Drosophila melanogaster: one gene and its partners. The protein of the gene in region 3 interacts with the protein of the main gene of each other region in a biochemical or structural test. Each region holds a gene or a part of one and is shown on either strand. Other genes may lie near its edges. The genes, in order: SF2, Rbp1, Tnpo-SR and B52.

What was found.
Region 1: the proteins of Tnpo-SR (region 3) and SF2 interact in far-western blotting, tested with the Drosophila melanogaster proteins (one study listed by BioGRID).
Region 2: the proteins of Tnpo-SR (region 3) and Rbp1 interact in far-western blotting, tested with the Drosophila melanogaster proteins (one study listed by BioGRID).
Region 4: the proteins of Tnpo-SR (region 3) and B52 interact in far-western blotting, tested with the Drosophila melanogaster proteins (one study listed by BioGRID).

The regions. Positions count from the first base shown.
Region 1 is NT_033777.3:16,338,443-16,343,935, forward strand, and holds SF2 (splicing factor 2), read right to left. Parts: upstream 3,547-5,493; 5' UTR 3,450-3,546; coding exon 3,286-3,449; intron 3,157-3,285; coding exon 2,787-3,156; intron 2,505-2,786; coding exon 2,380-2,504; intron 2,321-2,379; coding exon 2,212-2,320; 3' UTR 501-2,211; downstream 1-500. Other genes in the region: pad (poils au dos), read left to right, coding at 3,952-4,104, 4,164-4,546, 4,602-5,493.
Region 2 is NT_033777.3:10,782,666-10,786,997, forward strand, and holds Rbp1 (RNA-binding protein 1), read left to right. Parts: upstream 1-1,717; 5' UTR 1,718-1,815; intron 1,816-1,891; 5' UTR 1,892-1,941; coding exon 1,942-2,258; intron 2,259-2,737; coding exon 2,738-2,855; 3' UTR 2,856-3,492; coding exon of another isoform or gene 3,493-3,583; 3' UTR 3,584-3,800; downstream 3,801-4,332. Other genes in the region: mRpL37 (mitochondrial ribosomal protein L37), read right to left, coding at 1-365, 421-701, 759-1,106, 1,169-1,344; Art1 (arginine methyltransferase 1), read right to left, coding at 4,101-4,332. UniProt on the Drosophila melanogaster protein: Contributes to the activation of female-specific DSX splicing in vivo by recognizing the RBP1 target sequences within the purine-rich polypyrimidine tract of the female-specific 3' splice site.
Region 3 is NT_033779.5:2,758,249-2,764,402, reverse strand, and holds Tnpo-SR (Transportin-Serine/Arginine rich), read right to left. Parts: upstream 4,480-6,154; 5' UTR 4,371-4,479; coding exon 4,257-4,370; intron 4,187-4,256; coding exon 3,095-4,186; intron 2,900-3,094; coding exon 2,733-2,899; intron 2,680-2,732; coding exon 1,315-2,679; intron 1,253-1,314; coding exon 1,192-1,252; 3' UTR 514-1,191; downstream 1-513. Other genes in the region: Snx21 (sorting nexin 21), read left to right, coding at 1-97; Snapin (SNAP associated protein), read left to right, coding at 4,756-5,160; HemK2 (HemK methyltransferase 2), read left to right, coding at 5,179-5,853.
Region 4 is NT_033777.3:13,659,448-13,667,344, reverse strand, and holds B52 (B52), read right to left. Parts: upstream 6,035-7,897; 5' UTR 5,903-6,034; exon of another isoform or gene 5,644-5,902; 5' UTR 5,612-5,643; coding exon 5,486-5,611; intron 5,185-5,485; coding exon 5,114-5,184; intron 5,049-5,113; coding exon 4,941-5,048; intron 4,391-4,940; coding exon 4,294-4,390; coding exon of another isoform or gene 4,237-4,293; exon of another isoform or gene 3,891-4,236; coding exon of another isoform or gene 3,870-3,890; exon of another isoform or gene 1,893-3,869; coding exon 1,819-1,892; intron 1,756-1,818; coding exon 1,444-1,755; intron 1,262-1,443; coding exon 1,097-1,261; intron 990-1,096; coding exon of another isoform or gene 953-989; exon of another isoform or gene 927-952; coding exon 812-926; 3' UTR 454-811; downstream 1-453. Other genes in the region: Hrb87F (heterogeneous nuclear ribonucleoprotein at 87F), read left to right, coding at 6,958-7,005, 7,697-7,897. UniProt on the Drosophila melanogaster protein: Essential for development. May have a critical role in splicing or in controlling alternative splice site use of at least some pre-mRNA in vivo. Not required for all splicing. May play a general role in the condensation or decondensation of chromatin.

The DNA of each region.
Region 1 (5,493 bases), on a different chromosome or scaffold from region 3:
CGACCAGTTCGTTCCGTTCGAAATTATAAAAAACAACAAACACAGAGCAGTTCCCACGCGCGTCCGAACAGCTGGTGAATATTTTTTGAAAAACCCAACAACAAAATGCGCGTGTTGCTTATATAGTTTGTTTGCCAGTGTGGCCGTGCTGCAAAGTGACCAAAAATCGTTTTTCGCACAGAGAAATCTGGTATTTTGCGTTAAAACAATACGGTCATCATTGCCCTAATAACAGTCCTCTGTAAAAATCCATAAGCGGGAAGTTTAAAATTGATTCGGAATGCAAAGGTTGTGAAATCCAGAACAGAAGTCTTTCCTGCAGATAATACAAGCAAACTTAATTTGTAATCTTCATAAGTACAGGAACATCCCATAAACACAAATACCTGCTACACGAGTCTAGCAGTCTAATTTTAAGCTCATAATCTCAGCAAGATAAATTGCTAAAAGTATTTGATTGCACCCATCTTATAATGTTGTATTAAAAGCATGACATTTTTCTTAATTTTTATGAATATTTATTGTAAATGTGTATTTCATTTCAAAAATATGTTAGAACTATGGCTTATATGTTGATCGATAAGCAAGGAGAACGAGAGAACTGTTCTGTTCCAAAATTGCTGTGGTATTACTTTTTATTAGGTTAACGAAAGTTCATGCAAATGATGCGGGTGTGGGCTATAGTCGGGGCCTATGAATTTTCGCCCTTCTATTCAAAAAAAATGAAAAACAAAACGCACACGCGACAATCGCCACATTTCAGAGGCAACAATATCAATGGAGACGAAAGATTTGGGTAAAGAGTATATAAATTATAAACTAAATAACGCAAATTAAAAGTTAAATTTGATGTGGCAATCTAACATACCACAGAGAGGCGAGACAGAGGGAGACCGGAACGCATCGGATCGGACCAGACCAAGAACCACTATCCACTATCCAGCGTTGGGCGCAAGTCAACGTTGGATGATGCACAGCAAATCCGTGAAATGACAACGACAGGGGCGCGAAGGCCACGAAATACGCGGTTCCCTGGGTGAGCTAGTTTCTGAAGTGCGATCCAAAGAAGGCGACAACAAAGCGTGTGAGCCTGTCCAAGCGAATCCTAATCCCGACCGTTAGGCAGATGCCGAAGAAGGGGCGAGGCTCGAAGAGATGCGGCCGAGTCCGAAACTGTATGATTTAGTCCTGTCCAAGGGCAACGCAAGTGTTCCTCACCGTCAACGATGCCATCGACATTCTCCTCCTCCAAACATCCGTTAACCTGAACACGACCAAAGTTCACACATAAAATCCTTCAACAATGCGAAATTCCTGTCTCCTCCTCCTCCGAGGTGCGAGTTAGCCATGGGACACTGCATCCCACGTTGTCCTAGCGAAGGGCTCAGAACAATCCTAAATCCAAATCCAATCCTGATTACAATCAAATAAATATTTTCATATTTATAAGATCTATAGACAGGTCCTGCCTCCACTAAATTCAATCCAAATTTATCCAATCCACGCCAAAATCAACATCAAAATATCCTCCTCCACATCCATTAATCCTCATCCTCCACATCCTCATCACTCTCCAAACATAAACGCGCAAAATGGGGAAGAGAAGAAAATAAAAATTAAAGTATTAATAGTTTGCTTATCAATGTGGTTGACATTGCGTTGTGTTCGGATTTCTGTTTCTTTTCTTTATCTCATTACAAACATATTTATTCTGTATCGATGTTTCTTGTTTTCGTTAAGGTAGATTCTAATAAATTAGCTTGGAAAACGTGCAGCCAAAATAAGAGTTATAATATAATATGTAGGAAGCAGACTGAGCAAAGGCTCAAAAGATAATCAAAAGCAAATCAAGGAATGCCGAGTGCTTTTGGCCAAAGAGAATTCCTTGGTTTACAGTTGTCATTTTAGAACTGTTTTTGTCAAATTTTGCCCGGTGGATTATAACTTAAGAGAACATTTCTGCTTCTTAGAACGTGTGATAAGTTGGAAAAGCAAGTGTTTTTCTTTTTTAAGTATGTTGGCTTCGGTGAGAGTTCGGAACTTGACTGAACAAACTTGATTGGTCGTTGATTTCATTTTACAAATCAATTTACAATTGGGGTATTTGAGGGGTCTTGAACAAATATTGATTGGTATTTCCTAATATAGCTTGCTTTTCCTGTTTCCTGCTCATTAAAATATTATAGATTAATGGATAATGCTTGGTTGTGTTTAATAGTTAGAACGTGAGCGAGACCTGGAATAAGATTGACGTCGCACTGGGGAGTATGTGGGAGTGCCACGACGGCGCGGCCTCGACGAGAATGAGCGCGAACGGGATCTGTGGAGGGATTCATAGAATAAATATTGAAAAATGAACTGTGGTAATATTTGGTTTACCTGTCGCGGTAGTCACGGCTTCCACCTCCGCCGCTGCCGCCACCACCTCCACCGCTGCCGCCACCACCACCGCCTCTGTCGTTATCACCGCTATCCTCGCGTACGCGAATGTAGGCAACCTCGCCCTAAAGACAATAAAAATATTAATATCATTTGAATAATGTCGCCAAACTATTTTTCAAAATGTAAACAGGAATGTGAACTAGATGTTTATCAAATTGACACATTTAAGGGCGTAAGTGTAAGCATCTACACCAATATAACTTAATGTTATTCCTGAAATCATATTTAATTATTCCAGCCTGTGAATAATGTATGCTGACAAAATAAATGCAAAAGTAAATTCTCTACCTTGAAACCCGAATACATTTGAATTTTACAAAGTTGGAACTGGACAATTTACATACCTCATGCGATCGGAAGCGAGAGTCGTCCAATTTTTTGATTGCGTACTTCATGTCCTCGTGGCGCAGGAACTCAACGACGCCGGAACCATCCTTGTAAGTGTCCGCGAAGCAGACGTCGCCGGCCTCGCGCATGTGATCCTTGAGATCTTGCCACGATCCGGAGGCGGGCAGTCCAGTAACCATGACGCGGTACTGCGAGCGCTTGGCTGGCGGTCCGCGTCCGCCCATCCGTCCCCCACCGTCGCGGCTTCGGTCATTGCGGTTGCCGCCGCGGTAGCTTCCAGGACCACCGCCCCGCGGGAACTCCACGCGCAGACGATACCCATCGTAGTCGTAGCCGTCGCGCGCCTTCACCGCATCGTCGGCATCCCTAAATTGGGCCAAGAGGCAGCCGGAGGATATGGACCATGGTCAAGGAAGGAAGAGAAGCAGTTGTCGCGAATTAGTTGGGTGTCTTAGCCGGGGCGCTGGGCCAGCTGTGTGTATTCGCATTACTCACCGCGCATCTTCGAACTCAACAAAAGCAAATGGCGGCCCACGCCGATTTTTCAGATCGACGAAAGTTACTTTGCCGAACTTGTGGAACAGGTCCTGGATATCCTTGGTGCGTATATCTGGGGGAAGGTTGCCCACATATATACGGCACTCGTTGCGTGATCCCATTTTCTCCAGTTTAAATCAGACGCTTCGATCTATTTCGATTTTCAGAGAACTTATTTTTGTCACGCTCACAATGACAAATGGCCGACGCAGTATGACCGTTAGTTCGAGTTGGGTAAATCCCTTGGGTGCACAGTAGTTATCGATAATTATAACGTTGATACGAAACTATAGGTGGAAGTTTCGTTGCTTATATCGATAGCTACCCTGTAAGTACTTACTTCGCTTAGTTGGGAATTAGAATGAATAAGTTATTAGAATGAAATAAATTAAGAAGTTTGTGGAATTTCCTCGGTTAAAGGTTATAAGGCAGGGTAAACATAATGTCGTTCCTTTCATTTATATTATAATTTACCGATAGTTATTGCCAATCACGCCGAGCTGCAATGTATTCGCGCAGTGTCACCACTAAGCGTCGTTCAGTCGAAGAAAAGACAACAAATATTTGCATGTGCAATACACTAAACATAAATAGCATTTCGAAAACCACTGAGCCACCGGAAAAATGGCTGCGGCCGGAAGCAACGTTCGCTGCATTAACTACTACGACCTGTGTCGCATCTGCACGGACAGCAGCGATCACAAGACGAACATCTACTCACCCGAGGGACGCGCCAAGAATCTGAGCCAAAAGATACTCGAGTGTCTCTCACTGCAGGTCGTGCTAGTGCATCAATCTCCCATTACTTTTGGCTAACAAACCCATACTTCTTGCAGATCGATGAAAAGGATCGCTTGCCCAAAGTGGTGTGCGCCCAGTGTGTGCAGTTGGTGGAGCAAATCCACGGACTTCGCGCCACTTGCCGTAACTCACAGACCATGCTAAACAACTGTCTCAATATTCGCCCGGCGCCAAGCAGCGACAAGCTATACATTCGGGATGCGGTCGATGAAACTGGGAAGAGCCTCAGTGTGGCGCAGTCAGCTCCACCAGTTCCTAATGGAGCTCAGCAGTCCGGAAATCTCTTGAACAGCATAATCCAGGCGGTAAACATGCAGCCCCAGCAGCAGTACACCATAACGATGGACAACGGGGTACAGCAGCAGCAGCAGCAGCATCAAGCTATGCCGGAAGTTCAAATAAAAAGCGAAAGACAGACGTGAGTGGGAATTCACTTTCATGAAAATCATCTCAATAACATTCTATCCACTTAGTGCTTTGGAAGAGTTTATACGCCTCAAGCCTGACATCAAGATAACGCCGCTGGGGAAAAAGGAGCCCATATCGCCTGCCAAGCCCCAGCAGCAACATTCTCTGCAGTCCCAGACAGTAACGCCTACCATAAACCCTACTCAGTTGCAGTTACAACCGCAGCTAGGCGATCAACTGCAGCCTTTGTGGCAGCAGATTCAACAACTTCAGCTTCAGCAACAACTACAGCAACTGACCAACCAGCTGCAGGCTACCACACAGTACTCCGTCGCTCAGGATGATACGTCAAGTTCTGGCGACAGTAAAAAGCCAAAGTTGAACTTTGTGCTCTCTTCGCCTACAGCGCCCCAGTTCACCACTTCAATGCCGCAATTCGGTGGCAGTCAGCCGCAAATACAGCTGCAGTTGATGCCAGGTAGCGGAGGAGTGACAAGTGCAGGGACAGTTCCTGCCCAGACGCAGCTAAATGCTGCTGCCCTGCTCTCCAGCCTGGCGGGTCCGCAGTCGACAACCAACCTGCTGTCACCAAACAAGTGCTTTCTGCCTATCACCATTCGGGACGAGAATTCGGATCAGCAGATCGTGGCGCACATAGACACCAAGAACCTAGTGTTGCCCACGACATACCAAGTACAGATGAAACTTCAGCCTCAGCTGGCCACTGCGGATGGCCAGCCAATCATGCAGCTGACACCAACATCAATTCCGGCTACTCTGCAACTGACACCGCAAACATTGGGCAATCCAGGAAGCGCCTTCCAGGGCACTACGGTGACGCAAAATCAATTTCTGGCGCCGCAACAACCGCTTACCCAACTTCCAAATACGGCACAAGTGACCTCTCAGCAAATTATTAGATCTCCACATACCAGCACCACCAATTCGCAGTTGGTG
Region 2 (4,332 bases), on a different chromosome or scaffold from region 3:
CAAATGCGTTCGCCCTCCTTCATAAGAGCATTCAGCAAACAGATTGTAGTTTTGCCTATGGAACCAATAGTTCTTGGCAGTGCTATTGGCACCAAGATCGAGGGTATTCAGCTGCAACACTCCGAAGTGGAACGTCCTACCGTCAGTCTGGACGCTCTGCACAACAATTGGTTTGGGAAGAGCTCCTACGGAATCCCCATGCAGTTGCTTTGCTCGAGCGGCTGCCACAACGAAAGCTTTGACCAGTGTCCTCGCCTGAAGCTGAGAAGTTGTGACCTCGGATCCGTGGGAGTTTTTGACTTGGTGTTTGTTAAACACCGTAAAGATGGTGTGCGGGTGGGAGCAGGTGATGTCCGAGCGCAAAGCTAAATGAATAACATTGTTAGTCATGCATCGGGTAGTACTTATTAAACAACTTACGATACAAGTTCTTAGCTTGGTAAATGTGGTACTTCGGAATCGATATAGTACTCTTCATGGGGTAAAGATCAGGCAGATCTCCTTCGAATTTTCCCTTAACACCTTCGATGGCTCGGTTGGCAAATACCACTTTTTCAGCATTGATTGAGAATCCTAGCAGATCCCCGTCTTTGCTTAAAAAAGTCTTAAAAGACGCGTTGTCTATCAGCTTCCTTCGAACAGAGACTGAACGGCCAGCCAGTTTTTCACTTTCATGCAGGAGTTTGTTTACCAACAGTCGGCTGAGGAGATATTATTATTTACTTATGTTATGATACAGTTTAAAGATATGATCTTACTTGACCCTTTCGTGTGATATTCCGTAGGAGCGGGGCAGGTTAAAGGCCGGCCTCTCCGGTAGCCTCACCTTGGGCAGCTTGACTTGCTCTGCATCAAGCACGTGGGATGCCAGAATCGCATGCCGGACACTCTTGTCTACGGAATTTGGCAACTGCTGACTTGCAATGGCATCCTCGATGTGCTTGGGAAATGTTTGGATCACAATGGAGTTGGTCAGCACCTGGGCCTGCGGCAATCCACCAATTAGCACGCTGTTGTCGGAGTAAGTGTTGCAAACTGTGGGGTGCCAGTCAGGGTGCCTGCTGTCCTCGGGAACGGGTTTTTCGCGTGCGCCAACAATGTCCACTCTGTAGGTAAAGTTAGATATGTTACCTTTTACCATCAGTACATATTTCCCATTAATACTCACAGTTTTTTTTCAACTTTGGCGTTCAAGAGATCCTCGGGATTCTTCACCAGAACACCTAGCTTCAGGAGCTCCGCCGCGGCGCCAGTTTCCTTGGGGACTCGCCTACCCTGGACCAGCCAGTGCTTCTTGAAATGCCAGCCGATGTGCTGGGCACAGAGAGTGTTCGTCAGCCTCATTTAAGTTAGGATTTGCTTATGTTTTCGTTCAATGAAATGAAGCCCGGCGGACTGGTTATGAAACTCAGTGCTGCCAGATGGTGAGAGAAATTCCCTGCCCCATCGGCAATAAATATTAGTGATGTGATCACTTCATCCACGGTTCAAGCTGTAAATCGTTACATCGTGATTTTTAATTTTATATGTATTCAATTTCTTGTATAAGGCCGTATAATTTAACAATTTTAGTGAATGAAATTGCAATATCTTATAATTGTTGTTTTTTTGGCACTTGTAATGGTTAGAGAAATATTATAAAAATATTTAATAACAAGAAAATGTAACATATCAGAAACTGGCGATAGCGATGTATCGGTTTTCGATGCCACCACTATTTCCGCGTCTGGTCACACTTTTCGGTAATTGTAATAAATAAAGGAAAGGCGGAGATTTTTGTTAAAATTTTAACAAAATTGGATGACATTTTAGAAGGTAAGTGTGGAAATTAGTGTTTATACAACAGCTCATTGCACGGATAATATAAGTAACCCGTATACTCGTGTTTTAGCCGCTTGCTCACCTCCCGCAATACTCACGATACCGCACCGCCCGACAAAAATGCCGCGATATAGGGAGTGGGACTTGGCCTGCAAGGTGTACGTGGGAAACCTGGGCTCCTCGGCGTCCAAGCACGAGATAGAAGGCGCATTTGCCAAATATGGACCCCTGCGAAACGTGTGGGTGGCCCGCAATCCACCAGGTTTCGCCTTTGTCGAATTTGAGGATCGCCGTGACGCGGAAGACGCAACGCGTGCCCTGGACGGAACACGCTGCTGCGGCACTAGGATTCGCGTAGAGATGTCTTCGGGTCGCTCGCGCGATCGCCGGCGCGGAGAAGGCGGCAGTAGTGGTCGCTCTGGTTCCGGACGCTACAGGTAATTCCACGACAAAAAAACTGTACTTCTCATGTTACTTGGCTCAATGTGTCTCCCAAATGGAACAATGGATCACTTGACTCCAAAAATTGGGTACTTTCTTCAGGTTTCTAAGCATATGATGGCGGTCTTGCCTGTAACCGTCAAAATTAATCAATCCTTATCAAAACGTATAAAATTTGTTATCGAAATTTCATTGGAATCGTCGCAAAAAACATTAATTGCGAATAGCAAACATGTACATTTTCCCGCCTTTTTCTGCACGTGATAGAACAGCCTTCGAAATGTCAGTTTTATGAGTACTTCTTCGCAGGCTGTTTTATTCATGTCCAACTGACATCACATCGCTATTCATAACATTTCTAATTAAAAATTGACTTGGTACTTTATTTAGACCAAACTTACAAACTGTATACATATATTATCTACGATCCAATCATTTAGTGGTTGTTAAATTCGAGTTATCGACACTTTTTCAGGATAACTCCTTCGGCTAGAACTACTTCCACTGCTACTTCTTCCTTCTACAACATCAACAATCTACAACAGCAACCATCTTCACAGCCACAGCCAGCAACCTTCAACTTGCAACTCTAAATTAACCATGTTCAGCGTCACAGCCTCACAGAAGTTTTGATTAGCAACCCAAATGATTTCATCCTAGAAGAAGCAATGCAGTCGCCCAAAGAGTTCTTTTTTAAAGTTATCCTGCGTATCCTTCAAATAATTGCTTACAATTATTTCTTTAATTTAGTTGCCTATGATATGAGGGTTCGTCCGCTTTCTCAAGTACTTGACTCTGATGTCGAGAAAACTGGCCTTGAACGCGTTTAACGCTGATGATCACAGCTACTATAGATTTGTTCGACCATTTTCTTATTGCATATGTATCCGACAAAGTAGAAAGCTTTAAACTCTAATTATAGGATATCAGTTGGTAATAGATAGTAAATGTAATTGCAGCAGCTAAATGTAATAGCAGCATTAGCAATAATACTCTTATCTTAATTGGTTCACAGCTTAATTCATAGAAACAAAACAGTTTGCACAGCTTTCATTTTTGTTCCCCCTGGTAATTAGTTTAAGTAACTATTTAGCAGTATTTAACACTCCTATTTTGCAGCTCTTTGTAAGGCGCGTATGTACATACACTTCTTACCATTCTAAGCTGATTTAAATAATTTTATTAAGCTTTTAAGTAATCATTTCTTCTTTACCAATGCGTTTATTTCAGGTCACGTTCGCCACGTCGCTCCCGATCGCCCCGCAGCCGCAGCTTCTCGCGCGATCGTCGAAGTCGCTCGGATTCTCGGGATCGTCATTAATGTTTCCAAAAGGATATCGTTTAAGCAGTGTCGCATCAAAGAACAAGCCGGCCAAGGCCGTATTTTCTGTAGGAATTCCTATGTCGATTGCGATCCAAGTAAATTTACTTCAGATGACAATATAAATCTTTCGATGCATTCTTGAAATTCCTTTTTTTTTTTTACTAAAAAATAAAGACGCACAATCAGCGAGTTTTGATTGGTTTCATATATCATCAAAAACAGTTTGTTTCCAGCAAAAGGGGACGTGCTTAGTGCACTGTTTATTATGTGAGAATTGACGTGCTGCTGTACAACTTGCTTAGAAGTATGTTCGAATAATAATTTAAACAGGCGCACGAGTGTAAAATATTATGTATACTAACAAAGGTACACTTTAAACTTAGGAGAAGACGCAACACGAATTCGTTGCACATTTCGCACTGGAATAAACCTTACGTCTAGTCATTGTATGTATCCTCGCTGCAGGGCTCTGAGCCCCATCCCAAATGGCAGATCGGATTGGTTATGGCTGCCCCTAGCGCATGCGGTATGTGTTCGACTCCTGAATTTGAGACAATTCGCCCTTGAAATTAATGTCGATGACGAAGTCCAGGTCACGGTTGTTCCGCTCGTTGGGCTTCATCTGGAACGTGCCAGTGATCTCCTCGTTCTTCTTTGCCGTCATGTGGTCATCGAGGTAGAACACGGTTTGCTTCCAATGCGTGTATGTGGAGTCTGGTGACGTACTGAACCCAAGACGCTTGTGG
Region 3 (6,154 bases):
ACTGACTGACATGTCCAAGCAGGGCATCAACACGGCGAACACCGAGAGCCTCATGCAGGCTATACACAAGATCGATCCTCGCACTGAAACAATTTGAATCGTGAATCTCCGCTACAATTTTCATCCATTAGTTTAATATTTTGTTCTGTAGTCTTTAGCTGTCCGGCGAAAAGTGCAATTAGATAATGTGTGCAATTAGTTTTAAGGTGAAAGAAGTATTTATCAACCTTTGAGGTAGAGCCCATATGTACCCCCTTTGTCCTCCAAAGTAGTCCGTTCGTGCGAACAATGTGTCACAAAGCATAACCAATTTAAGACAACAATTAAAAAAAAAAAGTATGTACGTCTCTTCGTCTAAATGTTTAATTCGTTATTTTAAAACTCTGATTTTCAAATTAAAATGTTAGATTTTTATAACTAAATCAAAGATTTTCAAATAATTTAACTAAAATTGGTTCTTATTAATAGCTTACATTAATATTGCGACTAAATGTAATTCGAAACAAAAAGGTTCTGTTCGTAACGTACTGCTTTGGTAACTTAAAGGTTAGTCTAAGCATATTTATGTTTCATGTTACGTATTGTTTGATATCTCTTCAATCGTCTAGTTTGTAGTTTGTACCCAGTGGGAGTTGTGATTAAGCCGTGCAACGTACATAATTCACAAATCCATCATCGAATGTCCATGACGCAGTGTCTCAAAATCCATGCCCAGAATTCCATATCAGCCTGCGGAAATATCAGACAAGTCAAACGAACAACGCAGCTCCCAGACTTTTTTGTTTTTTTTTTCTTCCAGCCCAATGTCTTGTGATTGCTTTTTCAATAAATAAATATTATACTCAAGTGTTTTGCAGAACAAATGTGGTCAATTATATCTAAATGGTATATATTTAATGGTTTGCCTTATGCCTATGCTTGTTTGTGAGTCATTTTAGGTTTTAAACTTAGAGCTAGGAGTGCACGCTGATGTAAATAACTTACTGCTAAATTCTGTGAGGATCTCTTGACCGCACTCAAAATGTACAATTCAAATTATATATAACTTATTACGTCAAACAATCGATTCAACTATATTATAAATAGAGGGGTACGTGCGTTTTTAACAAAATTCCTAGCACCCTTGCCACATTACATACATCATTCAAAATGTACAGAATCATCCGAATCCAAACTCATGCATCTCCCTGATTAGCGAAAGAGTCGCGTGAAGGTTTTCAAGGCTTGCGAAATGGCTTTCGTTGTGTCCGCTCTACAAAAGGAAATATAATATATTATGAATAAAATACAAAACGTCTGATGGCAAATCCTCACCTCAGAACTGTGCTGCTAAATTCGTCCAGCTGTTGCTGCGTGGCTGTCACGTAGCCACCGCTGTTCTTTTTGGGCAGTGCCTCCAGCGCCTGGGCCAGGAAGGGCTGCATCCGCTCGTTGCCCACCACCTGCTTCAGTTCGTGGAGCACCTCGGCCACATCCACCAGCATGTAGGAGTGCAGCTGAAAGACGGATGCCTGGATCAGGTTCATCACCAGAGCACCGCCATGCTGACTGGCCAGCTCCACCACCAAGGGACGGCACTCGGTGTTCCGGCTATGGTTATTCGATCTGCCCCAAACCAACAGGTTGATAAAGAACTTCATCACAGACGAGTTGGCCTCGCGGTGGTCCAAGGAGCAGGCTATTAGCGCACACTGGAAGATCGGCGTGATGAGACTGCTCTGGAGCAGCTGGTGGGGACAACAGTCCAGGTAACGCGATGCCAAACGGAAGAAGTCATCCACTGTGTCGGGGTTATTTTTTAGACCGTTCTCCATCTGAAGCAGGCCAAATGTGGGCTCTATAAATGCCTGAAGCATCTCCAAAAGTCCGCCAATGCACTCGCTGGACTTTGCGAACTCGTCCACCAGTATGGAACCCACGTAGAGGAAGCAACTGTGGTGCTGCACAGAATACAGCACGACCATTTGTTTGATCAGCGGTTCCACCAGCATCATTGCTTGCTTTCTCACCATCCGAATGCCGTAGCGAATCAGTCGGCAGGTGCGCTCCATGATACGCAGATCACTCTGGTACTTATCCATCACCCGCGATATCAGCTGCCAGGCGTCGTTCAGAATAGCTACCGTGGGGTGCTCCACGTTGTCGGGAACGTCTGGATTCGTGTGTCGGATAATGGCGCAGGCGCGGTCTATCCAGTAAACGGGATCGGTGCGCTCTCCCTTTTGAGGAGTACTGCCAGTGCTGTCCACCAATTGTGCCAGTGGTTGCAGCTGGAAGCCGACGATTTCCCGCAGAGCAGGCTGCAGTTGCTCGCGTGGCAGGCGTGTCAGTATAAGCGATATGCCCTTTAGCAATCCTATTGCCACATCGTTGTTTATTTGAAAGCTGTCCAGACTGCGGGCGATCTCCACAAGACCGCTTATATGGCACACCATCTTCTGTCGGCAGGCGGAGCAAATGGAAGTCAATGCAATGGCCGCAGCTGGCGCCAAGCCATTTTTCTGCTGCAGGGCGTACAGCAAAAAGTTTAGGACTGCCTCCAGCGATTCAGGATGGTTCTCAATCCAGTCGCACAGTTCGCCGATCAGTAGAATCGCAGTGTACCTAACTGCTATGTGCGTTTGCTCCGACATATTGAGAATCGCCTCCACCACCTTGGGGATCACTTCGTTCTCATCTCTGCAAGGTAAGTATTGTAAATCTGACATGGTAATAAACAGCTGCATACGTACGGAAGTATATTTTTGGCCACGTTCTGCATAATGAACAGTGCTGCCTCTGTGGACTCCCACGTAGTTTCTGGAGCTTGCAGGATATGAAACATTTGCTTGAAGCACGCTCCAGATCCCACTATGAAGGCCACGTCTTTTATTAGATCTGAGACCTTGCGTCGAAAGTCCTGCAATTCATTTGTTTTAAGATTAGTACAATTAACTTCAAGGCATTATATTAATTTAACGTTGATAATGTAGAAAACTAATCAAACTTCTTGTACTCATTTCTAAATAAACCGACTCTAGCCATAAATGCCTATTCAATTAAAATACCCAACTTCAAAGAAAACTGCTAAAATTTCTCAATATCACACACTCACAAAGAAATTGTTGTTCTCCTCGATGAGCCCGTCGTGGTCGCTCTCCATTTGCGAGTGGCGAAACAGGGCGCTGATCAGCCGCTCGATGTGCGGCCGGAATAGAACCGTCAGCTTATCCTCGTTGCGCTGGAATAGATCCTCGGAGAGTTTGTACCACAGGTGGAAGGTGATCTCGGCCACCTCGTAGTCGAAGTGTCCGACGCAAAGCAGCACAAGATCCAGTCCTTTCAAACTGTAGTGTGGCTTCTGGGCATCGGCCAATAAATCGTAGAAGAAGGCATCGCACAACGAGGTGAAAATTCGGCAGTAGTTGATCGTCTTGTCGGTGTCCTCGTGCGCCACACTCAAGTGATAGGGAGTCTCCAGCATGCAGACAGCTCCAAAGAGTTGTGCCTCGAAAGAGGACTCCGGATCGCTGGCGCCATCCTGTCGTGTGTTTATGCAGGAGAGCAGCGCACACACGCATTCGGTGGCATTGTCGTGCAGTTTTCCACTGGTCTCCGGCAGCGAGAGCAACCGGAAGGCCAGCTGTGTGAGGGCGTTGTTGTACACGTGCGAGACGGGAAAGGCATGGATCACCAGCCAGGCACTGTAGGTGCGCAACGCCGCATTCCACACGCGCTGCTGGTCGAGATCCTCCCGCTGTAGGCACATACACAGGAACTTTAGGACACACTCTGCGCTGGCGTCCAGCTGCTTGTGCACCTCCTCGCGCCGATTGGCGCCCAGCCGCAGATACCGTGAGTCTATTTCCTCGGGAAGCACCTTGAGCACCTCCAGCAGGGGCCAGATGGCGCACTGATGTGGCGCCAGTGTCACCAGAAGATCGTTGATCGGCTCCCGCCAGCTGGCCATCAGCAGGGCCAGATCGGCAACCGCCAGACTGAGCTGCGTCACAATCACATTGTCCGTCTGCTCGTCGATCTGGCCTATGTGTGTGATCAGTGAATCCCGCAGAGATTCGTGCGTGTGCGGTGGCAGTTCGCTGAAGGAGTTCTGTATCTTGTTCCGCATGGTCTGCGCAGCAAAGTAGTTGGCGTGCAGGTCTCGTTTCTGGTGAAGCAGCTCGTCCGCAATCGTCCAAGAATAGATCTTTAAGGAAGTCCAAAAAAAAACTTAGCAATCGCACGAAGGTTTCGTACACCGGGCGATTATCACTCACCGACTTCTGGAAGTCCTGGAGCCATTTGTTGGCCTTCTCCTGCTCCTTGGGATTGTTGCCTTGGAAGAGGGCGCTGATTGCTTGGTACACCACGTCCACCGAGTACGTATCCATTTCATCGGCAGCTTTAATCAGCGCATAAAATTTCTTAATTACTTATTATTATACTTTATTAGCGATGGCTGATTGCGTACATCCCGTGTATCGATAACGCAAGGAGGTGGCATGCGATAACTTTGAAAGGTGAATGTCCGATAGTCTGCAGGACTTTTTGAAATTATTCAGGGTTGTCAAGTGCGTCAAACATTAAGGACCATTAAAAATAATTAAAATATTTTTACAGTCAAATATTTTTTAGCTTATGTGAATTCGTTTTTTGAGCAATAAAGCTACTCGGTTTTTATATCTTAATACTTGCCACCCCTATGTAGTCGATACATCGATACCATTGGTTGCTCGCAACAACATCTCTAATCAGTTTTCTGATCAGAATTCTGCAATGGATTCGGACAGCACCGTGACTTCCTTGGAGGAGAACACGGAGAACTTTTGCACGAATCCCACGCGCGACATCCTCGCCGAGGGCATCACCAATCTCTTCAAGCCGACGATCGAGCGGTTGGACGAGCGCGTGGCCTCCACCATCCAGCTGCAGGCTGAGCTGCGTGGCCAACTGGATGCACTGGCCGCCCAGCTGAGGGACATCGAAAAGGCGCAGAGTCAGATACCCGAGTTCGCGGACAAGGTGAAGGAGCTGCTGAACGTCAAGCACAAGGTGACGGTCATAAGCAACGTGTTGGTGACCAGCCAGGAGCGGCTGACGGGTCTGCACAAGCTGATAGAGAAGGAGCAGCGGCGGCGACAGGCGCTTCTCGATTCCGCGCTCAGCACCAACATATCCTAAATCCAATTACTGTTCGTCATGGAGACGCCCTACACCGACCACTTGAGCCCAGAAGATTTCGAGCACGTTTACGAGCCAGCGGAGGACTCGTTCCTGCTGCTGGATGCCCTGGAAAAGGATCTGGAGTACCTGGACCGGCTACAGCCGAGTCTCTGCGTCGAACTGGGCTCCGGTTCGGGTGTGATCATCACGGCGCTGGCCAAGAAACTGGCTGGCTTTTCGCTGTGCCTAGCTACGGATATCAATCCCAAAGCCTGCAATGCCACTCGAAGAACTGCGACTCGGAATGGCGCTCGCTTGGATAGCATTCGCTGCAGCCTAGCGGATGCACTGCGTCCGCGATCCGTGGACGTGCTGCTCTTCAATCCGCCCTATGTAGTCACCAGTGACGAGGAGCTGCAGACGCAACAGTTCGATTCGCACAGCGAATCCTCAACGGATCGCAATCTGGTTTTCTCCTGGGCTGGTGGACAGGACGGGCGACGCGTCACGGACATTCTACTCAAGCAATTGGATGACATTCTTTCGCCTCGAGGCGTGCTCTACCTACTCCTGCTGCGGGAGAACAAGCCGGAGGAGATTATCAAATACTTAGAGGGCCTCCAGTTCCGGGCTGTTAAGTTCATGGAGCGACGCATTCCTGGCGAGCATTTGTGCATACTGAAGGTCACCAGGTACTTGGCATCATCATGACTCGTGCAATAGCATCAAATTAAAGTTGTATTTTAATTAAAAGATAAACTTTTTTAGGCGTTTATTCTTAAATTTGATACTAAATAATATGGAGAATAATTTTAATAAAAGTTGAAATAAATGAAAGAAATGGCTTATGAAACTTAAAAGCTCTTAAACTTTTAGAAATTTTTGCGCTTATATTTGAATTTGAATATAAAAGTAGCTCAACTTCATTTGCCCAACGAAGAGCCCGGAATTTCATCATTCGTTTTTTTAATAGGCATCTGCTAAGGCTAATCGATTTTCAATCCGAAAAAGG
Region 4 (7,897 bases), on a different chromosome or scaffold from region 3:
TCAAACGCTTGGAAAGAAAAAATCTCTTTTATCCCTATGTGCTTTGTATATAATAGTGTACTTAATTCGTACAAGTAATTACTTTAAAAGCAAAACACAAACGATATATATTGTTAGAACCAAAACTTTGTCAGTTTATAAAACTTAGTTATGCATTTGATTTTAGATTGCTAATTCATTTTCAAATTTTAAATATTTAACTAGGATATATTTCAGCCAATGAGGTGTCAAAATTATCATTGGCGTTCTTCAAATTCAAGATAAATAAAATCAAATGAAATTGTAATTTTAATTCAGGCAAATAATGCGAAATAGTGAAACTAAGACTTTGTAATATACTTATATTCCGAAATTACGACAACAAAAAAGAAAAACAATAAACTAACTTTATATGATTAAAATCGTCGAAGTACTTTATATCCTTTTTGAAGTGAAACCAGCGAGCAAACATTTATAGTTTAAATTTATCCGTATTTATTGAAATTACTCATTGTATAGACAATTTTAAGTGTTCCGGTGTACAAGTCGCAGTAATTTCGTGGCCTATATGTACTCCTTGAATCCAAATCGGCACATTCAGCCGATCCCTGTCATCTTCCAGCCAATGTCCCATGTCCACAACAAGACTTAGGACAAATTGTCGTTATATATTTAAAAGAAAATGACGAGGCCCGACAGTGGTGGATTGGTATGATTTCATATTCATTAAGTTTTGGTTGTAGTCGGGGTGTCTGAGTGTTGATGTTTGTAGAATAGTTATAGTAGAAGTCTAAAATCAAGTGTTTTAATATTAATGGGACAGCTAACTAATCTAATCGTCCATGCTCTCGTTATTGCGGTCCGGTGAGGCGTTTCCATTTTTGGGCGAGGCCGAACGGGAGCGTGAGCGCGAACGCGACTTGTTTTCAGCCGATGCGGATCGATCGCTGCAAAAGAAAGGCATTGTAGTGAACTATAGAACGAGCTTTTGAACGACCACCGTTGGCGGGCTACAAACAGGTGCATCCAAACAAAACCAAAGAAAGCACGAAAGAAAGAATCGTGAACGGTCTATAATAATATGGAGCCATGGTCATCGCACTGTGGCCAAACTTACCGTGAACGGGAGTCGCGGTGGATGGACTTGGAACGTGAGCGGGAACGGGACTCGCGCTTCGAGACGGACCGCGATCGGGAACGGGAGTCACGCTCACGTTTGGGCGAACGGGAGCGGGTGCGGGAGTGGGACTTTGACTTGGACTTGGACACGTCACGCGATTTGCTGCAGCGGAAGTAGTGAAGTAATTAATTAGTGGGCAATCATATGAAGTAAAAAGCCAGGGAGGATCGTAATTAATATTTTCTATCGTGTAAAATCTATATAATATTAATATTAAAGCATATATCACAAAGAATTTGTGATTAAGTACGATCCCTACCAGACTTTATTCTCTCTCTACTTACTTGGATCGCGAGCGGGAGCGAGAACGAGACTTGACTGGCGACTTGGACTTGGAGCGTCCGCCACGAGATTTGGAGCGGCTGCGAGACTTGGAGCGCGAGTGCGACGAGCGGCGAGAGCGAGAACGCCTGCGGGATCGGGAGCGCGATCGGGAGCTGGACGAACGGGAGCGTCCACGTCCGCTGCCGCCGCCACCACCGCTGCGTCCTCCGCGACGATCCTCGACCAAGTGGATCCGCCTGCCGTTTAGCTCGGTGTCATCCAACTTCTCAATGGCCGTCTTCATGTCCGACAACGAGGCGAACTCAACCACGCTGCAAAGGAACACAATTGTAGTTGGTTGTATGTAAAATAATTTCAACCATTTTCAAACATACCCCTCATTGCGACGCTGCTTGTGGGCATCGGCATAGGTGACCTCGCCAGCCTGGCGCATGTAATCCTTGAGATCCTGCAGGGACGCACAAAGTCGGAACGAAAAGATAGTAATTAGTAAGTTTCAGCTTTGGCAGATGTCTCGCACATTTCGACATCGCACATCCGACGGCAGTGGTTGCAACTCAAAGGACAGCCCGTGCAGCAGATGGAGCATTTTGAATGTTTTCGGTATTATTTGGGGCTCCTAACCAAGTCCCAGCCTCTCACAAGTCCCTCTCTCTCTCTCACTCAGTGCCCTGTGTTCGTCTATCCTGTGCTCTTGTCGCGCCTGCCTACGTGTGGAAACCGAGAACCTCACTCCGGACGAAGGATTTCGCTTGGCCAGGAAAAAAGAAGGAGGAGGTGCCCAGAACGTACCGAACACAACATTCAAACACTCCACGCTGCACGCGGCACAAAACTTAAGCGTAAACAATCATAGTTAACAGTGGTTGGCAATTGATAGTAGATATATATATATATATATAGATTGAGTTGATTTGGTTTGGAAATAAATTAAAGTTAACAAAATAGTTGTAATTGAATTCTTACTTAATGCGCTTTCAGAGAGAGGAGGACACACACATCGTTTCTACACCGAGAGTTTAGATTGTCTGCCTAGTAACTGTGGGCCAATGACACCAAGGACACCTCATGACCTCATCGAAAGTCCGATCGAACATCGTTAACTCAACCAGTCAGCCAGAAGAGAACCAGTGGCCAGGCAGGCGGATGAGCGGATGGATGGCCAGAGCTCGTTACGTTTTGTTTGTTTGGATTTGGTATTCGTTTTCATTTGGCCACGTACGTACCACCAAGTACACAGTTTTGTTATGTTTTTCATGTACAACAGAATCATATTATAAATGGCAAAAAGGTATTCAAGTGTTGCGGTAGCTGTTTTCGTTTCGTTTCGGAGGAAGCCACACACCGGATACAGTCAGGAGGAGGTCAGATCAGATCAGAGCAGACATCGCTGGCCAGAACCACCGCACCAGAGAGCCAGAGAATGGAGCATTTGGAGCAGTTTGCCGGTCAGAGGCGGACAACAACCAGCGGCATCGGCACCTCACGCACAAACGAACTGCAAAAATAAGAAATACGTTTCGGGACGCTGCTCTCGCTTCTCCAACGGGTTGGGTTGGTGGTTGTCTAGTCGGTAGTCTCAGCCGGAGACGGGGCAGGTAGCCGTATGCCGTTTGCCGGAGCCGCAGCCATAAGCCAGAGCCGCAGCCGGAAGCCAGAAGAACCGGGAATGGGGGGAAGGAATAAGTTCGGAGGCACTAGCCGAAGTTGGTAACTGAACGCGCGACCAGCATCGCAGCATCGTGTCATCGTCATCGATCGATCATCGTCATATGCTCATCCCTCATCGTCGCCAAGACCATCACATCATCTTAGAATTAGCGAACGCAAGCTTCTCATCTAACCACACTCGATTGATTCGATTCGCACCCTCATCACACTCACAATGGCTATAAGGAATTTGACAATTCTTTATATAATATTGTTGGTAATTAAAATTGTGAATGTTTTTAGCAGAGAGTTAAATACCTAACGCAAGAGGCCAGCCCACGTCTTTTCAATCAGTGTGGGCTTTAATACGTGGGCTGGCCTTTTGACCCGGGCAGCTCATCAACGTCCATCGTCATCGTCTGCTTTCTGATTTCGATTTTGCATTCAGTTTTGGGTTCGATTCTGATCGACTTGTTCATTTCGTTATGTGTTCTATATTATGTTTTATTTGGAATAGACGACGAATGGATGAGGCGGCGGCGATGGCGCTTCGTGGAGGTCGGTCGTAGGTTGCAGATCGTAGTTCGCATATCGAAACCAATCTGGGGCGGCTCTGGGTACTGTCTCACTCTGTCTTCCACCGCATCTTGGTTTTTGGGTAACATTCTGAACCGGTCGGTCGGTCACTAGACTAGCTTGTCTTTCTCACAGCGATTCAATTAGATTTGATTCTCTTTCAGTTTTAGATTCGGCCCCAAGCCGAGGAGGGAATCTCTCAGTCAAAGCACATCAAACTCTTTTTATTATCGGTTTCGGTTGGTGTGTGCAAGAGAAAGTAATGGTGGGTAGATTACACCGATCAGTACCAGGGTTTTAGCAATATCTTTTGTTTTCGTGTTTCACTTAAGTCTAGGTCAACTGTACAGCTTAGGGCTAGATTACAGATTATAGAATTGGCTCTAGTCAGAGTGGAGGAGGAGTTAAAACACAAAACAGGACGAAGACACCGGAAAGTAATTCGAAATCAAAAAGGGGCTCGAAAAGGTTGGTTCTGGGATGGGTAAGTTGATTAATGGGTGTTTGTAATAGTGATCCATTTCAGTCGGTTAGCCGTTTTAATTCTAGTACTACACTCCTCGAATCTAAGCTACAGTATATACCACGCCCAAGGCGCGATACATCGATCCATGCTCACTTACCTGCCAGCTAACGCGGCTAGACAAATTCTCCACAATCAGTCGGTACTCAGTGCGCAACGGTGGGCCATAACGAGAGGATGATCTGGAATTTTTGTTTCTGGTGAATAATTGAATGGATTCGCTAATTAGTATTGACACTGCGCTGCTGCTCCTGATGCTCCATCACAAAAATTAACGGTAATGGTGAATATATTCCAGCATATGCATATTTACATTTGGGTTATGCGCAACAAATCAAACATTTTACATACTATGCGGATGGGTGGAACGTGCAAATAAAAGCAACAATAGTATGCATAGGAAAACGGAGCGTCTTGGAAATGATAATATTAACAGCAAGTCAGTGTCTTTTGGTTCCCTTCCACGCAGAAGAAATCAGCTTATACGATTGCACTACCAAAAGTGTATAAAACTATAGAAGTCAATATATAATAAACTGATGTTTTTTATATATATCGCAAGTAGCTAATATTATAGGTATATAGATTTTGCACGATCTAAGCTGGTTGCATCTGTGTGGATGGAGATATCAAACGAAACAAATTGGCAGTGCTAATTCTAGGGCAAACTTCAACGCAAACAAAGTTGGAGGACGATATCGTCGCTACTTTGGTCCGGTTTTAAGGTCCGCTGGCAGTACTACTTACTTTTCGTTGTAACGACCGCCCCCGCCCCCCCGCCGACCACCATATCGATCGTCGTAGCGGTCGCGGTTGCTGCCACGAGCGGTACCCCTGGCGGGTTCAACAACCACACTGCAAAAATATAGAACATACAATCGTGAGTCATTTCGTACTTTGGCTTATATCTAACAACTCACCGTTCGCCAAGCAGCTCTTTGCCATTCAGTTCATAGACGGCATCGTCGGCATCACGATAGTCTTCGAATTCCTGAAAATTCAATTAGTGATTAGTATTGATTATGGAATTAGTATTGAAGCTACCCTGCCTGTGCATACTCTTATGGAAATACGCTGGGTGAATTTAAGAACAGTTTTTAAGCGTCACTGTATTTGACAGACAAATGATGGAACAAATATAGGTTCAAAAAGAAAAAAAAAGTATTCAAGGGTCGGCTTGAAATGTTAGGAAACCTATAGACAAACAGAGAAATGCAGAAATGTCTTCAAATCAAATTTAACCGATTTTTTTTTTTTACATATTCCAGTTAAATATGATATTTTGTACTCACCACAAAGCCGTAGCCATTTTTGATGAGGATGTCGCGTGTGCGGCCGTAGCCTTTGAAAAAGCGCTCCAAATCGCGCTCGCGCACTCCGTAGGGCAGACCGCCCACATACACTCGAGATCCCACCATGATAACGGTTCCTTACGTATCTGGAGCAGGTGCTATAAAATAGTGAAGTATATATATATATATCAGCAAGGGAACCGTTGCAGTTTGCAGCTTCTATTTTGCTCGACTGTCCTTTAGGAATGGAAGAAAAAAAAAACGCACATATGTACGCGCCGTGTATGTTTCGCCAAGATGGCGGCCACCACATACACACACACACGCTCGCAATGTACCGGGTGTACAGAACCGCTGCAAAAACGAGTTAATTTAACAACGCGAAATACGCGCTGTTCTTCACTTAAGCGTACTCACTAGCACGTACCGTTCAGTGAAGGATATTTGTGGCAAATTTACAATTAAGTCGCTGCCGTACTCTCTCTTTTTCAGGCTTTCCCACACGAAAAAACGCAAGCGACTCGACACAAACGGAAGTGAAAGTGACAGACGAAAGCGATGTTTGACAGTCATTCCAAAGGCGGAATGGAACGATACTTTTTCGCCTATCGATATTTTGGGCGGGCAATGCGTTTCGCTGCGTTAAGGGTATTCCAGTTGCTGTTCGTGTTCCGCTATGAAAAGAATAAACATTAAATATACTTAGTAGTAGCATTTGAATATACTGTTAACAACCTTTTTATTTTGATATCTGCTAGCAAGCACTCATTAGCATTTTTTAACGTTTCTGATTTGATGATATACATAAAATGTTTCTGGATTTATTAATTTATTTCGCACGATGTCTTTTTTTATTCCCAAATGCCTCATAGATCCCGTAATTGTAATATTGATTGACCCTTAGCTGGCTACTTACAAATATACAATTCAATACAAAATAATTTACAAGTTATCTCTTAAAGTGAAGCCTTCCATCGCCCCAGCTAAAGCGAATGCTCGCAGAAAGAGTTATGTAAGCGGTATTAATAATAATACATATTTAGCTAAAAAGTTAAACATATTAAATGTTTCTTGGGTTATCGTGGTAGTAATTATCATAATCCATTTATAAAGATAATACATTCAAATCCGTTTGTTCAGAAATATATACAATAAACTTGTCTAATATTTTTAAGCCCTTACTAGACGAATACAAATTTATATGAAGATATATAAAATCAAGTGTGGCATCAGCTTAATTGTCGAGGAACACCCCTAACGCACCGAAACAATCGTTCCGATTCCACGTGGCGTCCGATTTTCCGACTTTACCCCGTTCTCGACACCTGGTCATACTGCTCACTCCATTCTCATTGTGCGTGCTGTACATTTCATTTATTGCCAGTCTGCCGTCAAAAAAGAACAAAAACAAAAAAAATATTTCCTGCGTTCGGTGTTTAAACTTTCCATCTTCTTGAACAACCAAGGAGAGAATGGCGGAACAAAACGATTCCAACGGAAACTACGACGATGGTGAAGAGGTGAGTTGCAGAATGACCAATTGCTGTTTGTAAATCGTTCATCGCGCGTGAAAGTGCAAAATGTCGACGCCGACAATATTCGTGTATAATATACATTCACGCCGCTTTTTTACCGAATTATGGGGGCCATCGATCCCTGTGCGAATTTAGCCAGCTAAAAGTTTATCGACCTCTTTTGGCGAGAAATATAAGCAATTTCCGATAAAAAAGTTGCCGGCTGTTTGATAAAAAAGAAAACGAAAATTCATACATACATACACATATACGGGCTGTCATGGCGGTGCAAATACTAAAAAAAAAAAAAAAAAATATGGCGAGCGGCTTTTTCTCGCCAGGTAAATTACTATTATAAACAATGGCAAATCCTTGTTGATCAAGGATGATTTTGCACTTTTATCGTTTTATTGACATAAACTTATTGACTTATTGACAGCAACTTATTTTTTTATTAAATTTACAGCAACTTATTATACATTTAAATATTTTTTATACATTTATTCATTTAGATACAGTATGATTTTTTTTTTTATTATATAAATTTATACATTTTTCGCAAAGTTTGTCCAAAGAAATCAATTAATTTAATTTAATATTACAACTTATTTTCGAATCAATGGGTTTTTTTTTTGTTTTTAGAAATTATTTAAATTATAGAACGTCTTTAGCTAATGCATTTGAAATTCACCCGCAGATCACCGAGCCAGAGCAGCTGCGCAAACTGTTCATCGGCGGACTGGACTACCGCACCACAGATGATGGCCTGAAGGCTCACTTCGAGAAGTGGGGCAACATTGTCGACGTGGTGGTGATGAAGGATCCCAAGACGAAGCGCTCTCGCGGCTTCGGTTTCATCACGTACTCCCAGTCGTACATGATCGACAATGCGCAGAAT